2 linked regions of the Caenorhabditis elegans genome follow. The protein of the gene in region 1 interacts with the protein of each later gene in a pairwise test. Each region holds a gene or a part of one and is shown on either strand. Other genes may lie near its edges.

Region 1 (6,482 bases):
TTTCTTTTGAATCTATGTTGTGCTTCACGACTTGATAAAAATTCAAGATTCATTAAAATACGTTTTAAAAATTAAATAATCTGAACTACCCACACAAGAAATGCAAACATGAGGTTCAAATACGCAAAAAAAACATAAAAGGAAAACACTGGGAAACTGGAAGTGGTGATTACAATTGTGCATAGCTACGACGTTTTTTCAAAGTTTTTCAGATTTACAAGATAAAGAGGTGACGGTGAAGAAAAGAAAAGGGAAAATGTGTGGCCCCGTAAACAATTGATTTTTTTGTGGATTTTGGTTTTCAAAAGAGGTTCGGAAAAATAGATTATGACGTCACAGACGGAGAAAATGTTTTGAAGATTGAAGAAAAATGAAAATAATAAAAATAACAACTAGTTTGAATAATACTAAAGAAGGACTAGGTTTGATAACTCTAATTTTTCAATTGGTAACACGAAAGGGATAAATAAAACGAATAAAAAGATTAACAGGAATATCAAAATCATTTTTTCTCATTACGAAGAGCATGTGAAAAGTCAGTTGGCAGCTTTGGAGCATTCGGATCTTGTGGAGTATTTGAGACCGGTGCTTGATTTGCAGCTCCTAGAGATGAATTTGATGATGACGGGGAGCATGCTGGTGGAGCTCCAACGCTAACACGAATCTGGCGATGAATTACACAATTAAAAGCTTACATCTTTCGATTAATTATTTTCGTAAGGTGTTTTTCAGAATAATTATAAAAGCTGCTGATTATAAATGTTTATAAAATATCAACTTACTTGATGAAGAGGTGACATTGCATTTTGAGTTTGCTGGACGGCCAGTGCAATATTTTGAGGAACGGCCAATCCCATTGCTACACCCAACGAATTCGATCCGCTGAAGAAACTTTTTTTGGTTAGACAAGACATTGATTTTAGATTGAAATTTGAAATTAATAAAATTTTCAAGCTTTTGGCCAATTTAAAAAAAAGTATATATTTCTGGAAAGATTTTTTTAAAATTACATTTTATTTTGATACATTATTTTCAGAAAAAAAACAATATGGTTCAACTTACTTGCTTGCAGAACTATCCGGACGATGAATCGAATTACCAGGAACTAATCCACTCACAGCTCCCATTGATAATGCCGAAAAAGCATTTCCACTACTAAGCAATGGAGATCGAGAATTGGTATCAATAAGATGTTGAATGAAGCTATCGTCTGTAAAAAAAAGCAATGGGATGATAGTTCAATGTTCATAAAATCATACTTAAAGTTGTTCCGTCATTACTGTGTGCAAGTTGTCCAAGTACATTAATCAATGAATCATCTTCAAGCATTCGAAATGAAGGAGTTATACGAGGAGTTGTGATGGGTGATGGAATGATTGAATTACATCCTGACATAATTGGTTTCACTGCAACTGGAGCAATTAATTTCACTGATGAATCAACTGGTTTCGATGATAAGATTGGTGGTTGGATTTGTGAATTACAGTAGCTCGTGCTCGGTTGATTATGTTGCAGATGTTTCTCTTCGATCTTTTGGAAAATTTTGCTGAAAAGAAAAAATTGTTTAACGATGATCGGGATACGATGCCAAACCTGAAGCTTGTTGTATCTCCGCGTGCTGTTGTGAATTTTGTTGGGCTTGCCATGTATCCACTACTTTCTCTGCTGATTAGATTAGAAACAGCAGTGTGAGTCGGTGAAATATCGCTTCCTAAAGCTCCTTCATCTGAAACAAAAAAAATAAATTCAACTTTTACTAAACATATATTCTTCCAAAACTACGATACCAGGTCTCATCACGACAAATATTTATGGAATACACAAATGTTTGCGCCTTTAAAGTGTACTGTAATTTCGAACGTTTGTTTCGTAGATTTTCCATAGACCGGGTACCATATTTTTTTAGCTTTTTAATATAAAAAAGTTTCGTGTTTGAAAAATATTAGTAATTTTCGCGAGAATGAGGGTCACGTATACAAAAACAACTAACTTTTATTCATTTCCTGATTGCAATTCAAAAATTCAAATGAATTGCTCGTATGCGGATGCATTCTTTTTCTGCCAACTGGACTTTCTCGCATCGATGGTGTCGTTCGAAGTGAGCTCAATGCATTCACTATATGTTGAGCTGAATTAATATGATTTTATTCATTAAAATTATCGTGCTTACCATGAATCACATGCTCCCGATTTCTTTCATCAACAACAACGACTCCAACATCGCCATGATTTCCAGTATTCACTGTCATTCGACAAACGGGTTTTGCTGTTGAACGGAATGCACCCGGACTCCTCGCAGAATCTTGACTTTGAAAATCGGGAAGCGGTCTCACTTGCCGACTCGTTCCGGGAGCTCCTTGATTTTGTTGTGTACGAGAGAATTGGCCTGGTGCTGCCCATATGGAGCTTCCGAGTACCAATTTTTCCGTTCCACTTTCCACTATCCGCCGAACTTCGTCGTTAGTGCTGAAATAACTGTGTAAATATTTATATTAATTATTTTTTCAAGTTCTACCTGGAATTAGGAGAATCATGCGATGATATATCCCGACTTCGTTTCTCTGAAGGTCCATCGTTGGAATCCTCCGACATATCCATTTGTTGAGAATCAGATGTTCCCGCGATGGGATAAGGAAAACAATTTTGAATCGGAGGAGGTGGTAGACATAGAACAGATCTTTTTGCATTGAAAAAGTTGTTGTCGACTGCGGTTTTGTTAACCATATACGTGTTTCCCGCAGAAAGAGACTGTTGGGCAAGAGTAGCACGACCACCTGAAAATTTATTTTAAAGTTTGGAATTCTTATTGGAAATTTGCAATTTCGAGCCAATAATATGCAAAAAGGTGTGCTCAAGGAGTACTGTAATTTCAAACTCTTGTTTCTGGGGAATTTCGATTGAAATTGAATATAAATCTATGAAAAATAGAGGGAGAGGGAATTTCTAAGCAACGAGAGTTTGAAATTTTGGCACAAAAATCGCGTTTGAACAGTTTCACAAAATTTTAAAGCCCTTGACAATTTAACATATTTATAAATTAATCAAAACGATTTATCTGCGTCGCAAAATGGATATATTTTTATTTTGAATAAAATTGGATTTTTTCGCTGACAGAATGTCATGGTGAATTCTCAATAGCTTTCAATTTATTCATTGCTTATAGAGAGTTTTAGAATAATTTAATCTTACCAAAATAAGTATGGCAAGCTTTCTGTGGATCATAAGTGATAATGATTGTTTCCGCATTTCGTTCGGAATTCGTTTCCCAGACACGAGTATGAGTAGAACTTGTGCCAAGAACTGCATGAGGAGCTACAATTGTCTGTTCACCGGGCTCTTGCTTTACCATCACTGTATCAGAAAGTTCATCATTTCTCGGATAGGTCAATGTAATTTTAGTGTCAACGTCTTTCAGATAGTTTGCCATAAAAACGTCAAGACCGCGAACACTAATCGCCATATGAAAAGGATTTATGCACAGAGGGTGGACACATGCCTCGGATCGTTCGAGACGCTCGCCGTCGGTGCTCTCGAGAGGAATTCCCTGAAAAATATTAAATTTATTTGAAGTATTAGGCAATAGGATTTTTAAAAACTCACTTTAAATAAAATAATAGTAACCAGATCAAGCCTCCAAACTTTGTCAGCTTGGCGTAAGCAATCAATTCGCCGCATTTTCCCTTTCTGATCAGCAACTGATATAATACACTTGTTCGGCTCACTTCCATTGATCTAAAAAATTGGTTTCGCCTTATATTAAATCAATTATAAATATTGAAATACTTACAGCCGAAATAAACGCTTCTTTATCGTCATTTTGAATATCTTTTTTTATTTTTCCCAAAAGTCTGGAAGCCCATTTCACTTTTAATTCATCTCTATCATTCTGAAATGCAAACAATTTTCTTTATGATTTTTGTTCATATTTATTCGTATTTTACTTGTAATTCTGCTAATTTCGCGTTTTCTTCACTCGCACACATCTTCTTATCAAATTCTTTGAAGTGCCGTCGTTTTGCTGCCTGAAAACAGGGGAATGAAATTGAAAAATTAAAAATTATATTCAATAATTCCTACCTGCAGATGAAACCAATTATAGGCACTTGCTCTGACAAAAGGTAGAAGTTGTTCGACAAATGGTCCCATATCTTCCTGTGAGTAAGGACTGAAGCATTTGATACCATTGGCTTTCGGACTCACGGCTTCTGGAGAATTGAATTGATTACTCCAATCAGAAGATGGTGGAGGCATTGTCTGCTGTGCCTGTGAGTCTTGAGGTGCTTCTGATGTTGAAGCTGTTGCACCAGTGGTCGTCGAACCGCTGGCGGAGCTGACATCGATCTGAAAAGTATTTTGAGTTTATTTCTTTGTTTGATATACTTATACGAGTTTTTTTTTTGAAATTTCAAATTAATAATCAAGTTTTCTTTTTTACCTGAGATTCCATTCGTATAATTTAAAATCAAAAGTATCTACAAAAAGAGTTTATATTTTCATATATAATACTGCATATAGGAAGAGATAGCCTTTTGATGATAGTTGGTTCATAGCAACAGCAAAAATACTCCACAAATTTAAAGAGGCGCAGATAAGGAAACAAGCGAAAAGATTTTGAATGAATAGAATCACACCGCCCGTCGAGCGAATACTCGTCAAATTAATCGATATGAAGACCGGCATGTGTGTGCGAGGTAATTATTTGCAGCGAACCTGCTGCAAAATGTTTTACAACAAATAAATTACCTTGAGATGCGGCTCCATTTTATTCAAAAAATCTCCCAGAGCTGGAAAAAAATCGCAATGCTGCTGCGATCGGTGTCCTGGCTTGTGCTCAGATAATCTGCATTCTGAAACACTTAAAAATCGATATCACAAATTGACAAGCGTTAAAGAAGAAAAAAGCGGCACCGAGCGCAAAATATCATGAGAAAATAAATGATTGAAGAAGTAAAATATTTTTCGAGATTAGTTTTCTGTCGAAATAATAATAAACACTGGCAACAATTTGAATTAAATGAATTCTCGTTTAATCAATTTTATTGAGCTTATAGAAACACTTCTTCTGATTCAAATATATTTTTGGAAACTTTATAAATTTTTCTGCACATTCATCTGCTCATATTTTGCTCTTTCATAGCCAATATTAAAAATACAGGTGGTCTGGGATGCGCTGCGAATCAAACTACGGTAAATTAACTATAGAGCAAAAATGCGCAGAGGGTCGTACAAATACTAGTCCAGCGGCCATATTTCAAACGGAATTTTCCGCGCGAAATCTTGATTAACTGACAGATGACAATTAATTCTTAAAAATTAAAATGAAGATTATCGAATTTTTGAAATTTATTTATTAATTATCAACAAATAAAAAATTTAACGAAAAATCTCAAGCGATCTGTTCAGAAAAAGAGAAAACTCATAAACAAAAAAACAAAGAAGAAAGTATCGATTAAATAAAACGGCAGGTCTCGCAACGATATTGTTAACTATTGCAAAATGGTGCGCGTCTTTAAAAAAGAGTACTGTAGTCTCAAACCTCCGTTGTTGCGGAATATTTATCGGTTTTTCATAGTTTTTCTCAAGGCTTGTGCTTAAAGAAATGTTGTTTCATTGTTATAAAATTTTTAGCAAATCGTGAGAAAAACTATTAAAAATCGATAAAAATCGCACATCAGTTTAACGTTCGAAATAGCTGAAAGTTTCTTGCGAACATGTGAAAAAACAGAAATTTCGTTTTGTAAAAAAACATTTTGCAACATACAGAAAAAGATAACCTCGAAATTTATTTTATTCATTTGTTTGCTCCCTCGTTCCATAAAAAACAAAAATCATGTGACATCAGTTCTATAGCATGCTAAATACAATGCTCAAGTCGTCAGTTCAACAGTTCAAATCAAACAAGTATTAGAGTTTAATAATAACACGTGGTGTCAGGATCCCCCGTTACGCTTTGATCTACAGAAAATGCGGGATTTTTCCTAAAAAATGTGACGTCAGCACGTTCTTAACTATGAGAAATTAGTTGAAAAGGCTGCGCCTAAATTCCTGCCGTTCTCGTAGATCTTCACATGGGACATTCTGACACCATGTCTAATAACATAAAAATAACTAGAATCAAAAAGCAGATTCTTCAAATCTTGACAATGAATTAAACTTGGATGCAAGACTTGCATCTGATTGATGAACTGGATTCTTAACTGTTCTTCTTGGAGCAGGAGAAGGTTCCGGTGTATACTCTTCAACTTGTGCTTCTTCTAGAATTGCCATTCTCTTTGGTTTTGGTGGCCTATTTCTATAGGCTACAGGGTATGCTGGTGAGGTGCCACCAATATTTGAAATTTCACTTTCAGTCCCATCGAATGTCTCATCCTAAACGAAATTCTATAACTACAAGCCATACGTCACAATTTTTTGAATTGGATCTGCTCATTAAAATTTGTGATTTTTTTTTAATGCAAAAAAAAGTTATTCAACAAACAGAT
Region 2 (4,842 bases), on another chromosome or scaffold:
TTTTTTTCTATTTCTCATCCATCCAAAGTGAGGGAGAAAAAGAGAGAAAAAGAGTGAAAGAGTGCTTTTCTGTGCACACATATCACTTGGTCTGTTAGTGTCATGGGACCCCGGGGCATTTCCTCCTGTTTATCGTTTTCTCTGGGTTCAAACGAGAAAGGATCTTTCGGAATTGTCAAGGCTCAAGCATCTCTTCTGAGCCAATGAGTGTTTTTTCTCTTTATCACAAATGTCTTTTACTTTTTACACGCTTTTTACAAGATTTGAATGATTTGTTTCCGAAGAGATAGAGAAAATAAAGATATTAATCATGAAAACTTGTTAATAGAGTACCGTAATTGGTGAGGTTTAGCTTATTTGAGTGCAGAAAAATTTAAATCTTGAAGTTTTCTTGGCGAAAAATTAAAAAAAAAACAGCAGAACTGTGAAATAAATATTTGCAGCTACCAGATACATCTATTTTAGTCATTTGAATTATTGAGAAAAACAGACTACATAAATGAACTACAGTATACAACTTGAATTAAAAAAGGAGTTTTTGACTGAAAAATAACCATTTTCTAGCTTTAATAGACATAGTTTTTGGCTTTGATTTTTTGTTAACGAAAGCAACTAGAAAACATTCAAATTTCAAATGTATTTAGTCATTTTCTGCATATCAAAACTATTTTTTTAAACCTGATGCTCCAAGTGTTTAGTTAAATTTATATGTAATAAATAATTTTGTTTTCCATTAATATCAGTTTTGATAAAACTAAAGTAATACAGTAGTTATCCACCACAATTTGGTGCCCTGATTGTCCTCTTAATATTTTAATTGTACGAAATTTTGCCATCAACCAACCACACTCACTTTTTTTGGTAACTTTTCTTCCCATTTCTCTACTTCTCTTGCATTTTGTTATTTCACAATAGTCCACTCTATCTTCTTTTTCCAATGTCCCTCTCAAATCATTCGCGCCCTGTTTAGCACCCATAGAGTCATTGATCACTTGGCCAACAGCCGGTCTCCCGGTAATGATAACGGGAAAAGTCAATGAACATTGAGTGAGAAAAAGAAAGAAAGAGAGAGAAAAGGACAGAGAGCAGCAAATGTGTATGTCACACACTCTTTTAGTCTCATAGAATACTAATCGATCACAATCACAAGTTACAAAGAAGTGTTGAACATTTTCAAGAGCTGCAAATCTGTGATAAGGTGACGAAGAATTGAGGTGACGTACTCTTTTCCCGTTTTTTTAAATTGTGATAGTGTGAGTGAAAAGATTGCGCGAGTAATGGGTAACCGTTTCGAAGACTGAACTGCATTCATGAGAGCCTCCAATCTGTTGCAGGAGTCAAAGTGAGGCAATTTGCGTCTTGATTTGATATGAATAGAAAAAGAATGAACGACAATATATTGTCTTCTGTTTTGATTAATGATTTATTTCAAGACATTGTATACAGTCTTAAAAACATTTGGCAACGGTTTTAGTAATTGTTATTTTTATTCCCCTTCATTCATTGTAATGAAACATATTAGAGAAATCAGTATGAATCAAATCAGAACGACGTTTGAATTGATAGGAATGAAGAAAAAACGTGACCACTCTTCCCCGAATCATTAAAAGTGAACCTTGTACCCAGTTTGCTGTAGACAAGTAACTTTCATGCTAATTATGGTCTCATGTGAACGTCACATGGTTCCAATCACTTTCTCATTATTTTTTGTAATACGTCTTCATCTCTCATTTTCCCCCTTATCTCACTTTGTTTTACGATGAACTTAACTTACATGAATCAAACTTAAAAAGTGGTTTTAGAATTGGCGAATGAGCCATCAGGCAATTGGAATCTCGAACAACTTTCAGCAGGTACAACGTGAGCAGCTAAATCATCAACGATTATTACAAGCACAGCTCCAGACTAATGGACCTGGAAGTGTTTCTCAGCAGCAGCAGGCTTCGCAGCAACAACAGCAAGTGCAGCACGTCCAGCAGCAACAACAGTCGCAGCAGCAACAGCAACAAGTTGCTTCACAACAAAACCAGCCGCAATTGCAAATGAATGCTCAGATACTGCAAGCTTTGTCAACACCACAAGGACAAAATTTAGTTAACATGCTTTTGATGCAACAGGCACTTAATGCGCAACAGACTGATACTCAGAATCCACAACAAATTATGCAACATCAATTAGCTCAACAGCAGGCACAACAAGCTCAGCAAGCTCAACAAGCGCAACAAGCTCGACAACAGGCAGAACAACAAGCTCAAGCCCAAGCTCGTCATCAAGCTGAGCAGCAGGCTCAGCAACAGGCACAGCAACAGGCGCAGGCACGGCAACAAGAACAACAAGCTCAATTAGCAGCTATTCAACAGCAAGTCACGCCACAGGTTTGTGTTTAGTACAAAATTGATAATTCGAAACTTTGATTTTTATTTTAAGCAATTTGCTCAAATATTGCACATGCAACAGCAGCTTCAACAACAGCAGTTTCAACAACAACAGCTCCAGCAGCAACAACTTCAGCAGCAGCAACTGCAACAGCAACAACTTCAACAACAACAGCTCCAGCAGCAACAGTTACAACAGGTTCTACAGGTGAGTTGACACAGAAATAGCATGTTGATAACTTGAAATTGGCGTTATTTTATTTTTTTTTTCTTCAGATCTCACAAGCCCAACAACAAGCTCAACAAGCTCAGCATGTCCAGTCTAGACAAATGCAGCCGTCCCAACAGAGCCAGGTACAGGCGCAACTCCAGCAGCAACAGCAATTGCAGCAGCAACAAGCTCAGCAGCTTTCACAGCAGCAGGCGCAGCAGCAACAACAATTACAACAGTTACAACTGCAGCAATTTCTTCAACAACAGCAACAGCTTCATCAGCAACGTGCGGCTGCCCAACAAGCTCAGGCTCAGAACAATGCTTCACAACAACGCCCGTCGGTTGCATCGACGCCTGCATTGTCTTCAACTCCACAGTTGAATGATCTTACACAGACAATGCAAGCCCAGCTTCAACAGCAACTGCTTCTCCAACAGCAACAGGCTCAGGCTCAACAAGCTCAACAAGCTCAGCAAGCACAACTAGCTCAACAGGCTCAACAGCAACAGCAAGGGCAGTCTCAAAATAGAACAGTTTCTCAAGCACTGCAATATATTCAGTCTATGCAACTGCAGCAAAGAGCCGATGGAACCCCAAACGGTACGTTTAAATTTTGTATTTTTCTCTGTTTTCATTTTCTCACGTTCACACGCTTCACAACTCTGTGTCTGTTTCCCTTCTCTGTTTTCCCAGTTTCTCCCTTCCCGTTTTCCATCGTTTCCCTTTTTTGCCAGTCCACATACGTTCAACCACACAACCACACCACAACTCTTTGAAAATTATCCGATATACGTATATGACATCAAAAATATCATAGAACATTTTGTTTCCATTTGTTTTTTTTTGAAATATGCATGCAAATAGATAGTGTGTAAACCAACAATAATTAGAAAGTGATAAAGAATGAGATTTTTGTAACCATTACTTCAGCTTTTCTCCTGAATCATCTTCTTCTCTTTTTCTGTGCACCACCTTCTAACCATTGGTTGTTCAAACACGCTTACCCAATATTTTTCCCCTTCAGCAGAGTCACAAGAAGAGAGGTTGGCTCAAATGCTGAACGAACAACAGCAGCGGATGCTGCAAAATCAGGCGCGCGAGGCACAACATCGTCAGTTGCTCATTTCTTCGACGCCTGCTCCTCGAGGTGGTATCACCATGGGAACTCCAATTGGTATTGCAAGGAGAGAAGAGCAGCCGGTACCGTCTACGGTGGCGGTAACGACGGCACCGGCTGCAGTCCGCACGCCTGTTGCTGTGCCACCTATGAAACAAAATTCTAACCCTTCCATGAATCCATCATCCACATCTACGTCTGCATCTGCCACAAGCAGTCATCAGATTTTAGCCCCCTCGCTCTCCAAACCACTTGAGCAGCCTTCCTCGTCGAAGGCCGCATCGTCTGGCAACGAGTCGATGTCGGACCACATCAGCCGAATCATCTCTGAGAACGAAGTCATTCTTCAAGGAGACCCGGTGAGTGCCGAATTCTTCTAGCGTGATGGGTTTTCTTTTTTTGAATAATTCGCCCCCTGGAGTTTGATGAAATGATACGGAAACAATACCAGACCAAAATAAAACAAAACCTTTCATGTTTTTATTCATAATTTCAAATCTCATTTGTCCTTCTGTTTGACGTCTTCGAATCTGTCCATTTACAGGTGATTCGCAAAAAGCGGCCATACCATCGGCAAATAGGTGCGCAATCCTCGGTCGATCACGACAGTAATAGTGGTGGTGAGTTGTGGTGTGGTTGAGTTTCTTGAAAGCATCGCTCCATTACCCTTGTCCTTCTATCCCAAGACAAGATATTGTCTCCTTCTATTACTCGCCCCAACGTTTCCGCTATACCGTCTCGATTTGCATGCCAGTGCGTGTCTGCACGTGTCCATATCTGCATATTATATATTGATGAATATTGTGATTGTCCCGTTTGTCCCTTAATGTTTTATATTTTTCAGGATCAACAAGAACTTCGCCTGGGCCAAAAGACAGTCGTATGTTGCAAGCTGCTAGTCGGAGCCAGAGTTTATTCGAGCTTAGTGGATCAAAACATTTCATGGGCAGCTTGACTAGTGGTCAGCCATTGCTTCGTCCGATTCAGGCACATAATGATCCTAACTACACACCGGAGTGTATATACTGCAAACTCACGTTTCCCAATGAAGCTGGTCTCCAAGCTCACGAAGTTGTTTGCGGAAAGAAAAAAGAGCTAGAAAAAGCACAAATAGCACAAGAAGGAAACCCGCATAG

What was found. The genes of interacting proteins can lie anywhere in the genome.
Region 2: the proteins of nfi-1 (region 1) and sma-9 interact in a two-hybrid assay, tested with the Caenorhabditis elegans proteins (one large-scale study listed by BioGRID).

Annotation. Positions count from the first base shown.
Region 1 is NC_003280.10:7,536,559-7,543,040, reverse strand, and holds nfi-1 (Nuclear factor I family protein), read right to left. Parts: upstream 4,762-6,482; coding exon 4,744-4,761; intron 4,342-4,743; coding exon 4,078-4,341; intron 4,023-4,077; coding exon 3,942-4,022; intron 3,887-3,941; coding exon 3,788-3,886; intron 3,733-3,787; coding exon 3,601-3,732; intron 3,545-3,600; coding exon 3,190-3,544; intron 3,025-3,189; exon of another isoform or gene 3,004-3,024; intron 2,775-3,003; coding exon 2,516-2,774; intron 2,467-2,515; coding exon 2,171-2,466; intron 2,129-2,170; coding exon 1,991-2,128; intron 1,727-1,990; coding exon 1,594-1,726; intron 1,547-1,593; coding exon 1,260-1,546; intron 1,211-1,259; coding exon 1,063-1,210; intron 883-1,062; coding exon 783-882; intron 665-782; coding exon 503-664; downstream 1-502. Other genes in the region: ZK1290.13 (MARVEL domain-containing protein), read right to left, coding at 6,115-6,369. UniProt on the Caenorhabditis elegans protein: Probable transcription factor which recognizes and binds the palindromic sequence 5'-TTGGCANNNTGCCAA-3' present in promoters. Plays a role in locomotion, pharyngeal pumping, egg-laying, and life span.
Region 2 is NC_003284.9:10,771,280-10,776,121, forward strand, and holds the start of sma-9 (Transcription factor sma-9), read left to right. Parts: upstream 1-1,811; coding exon 1,812-2,375; intron 2,376-2,427; coding exon 2,428-2,583; intron 2,584-2,651; coding exon 2,652-3,189; intron 3,190-3,613; coding exon 3,614-4,065; intron 4,066-4,250; coding exon 4,251-4,326; intron 4,327-4,550; coding exon 4,551-4,842. UniProt on the Caenorhabditis elegans protein: Transcription factor, probably acting as a transcriptional activator and repressor, involved in the TGF-beta-like dbl-1 signaling pathway.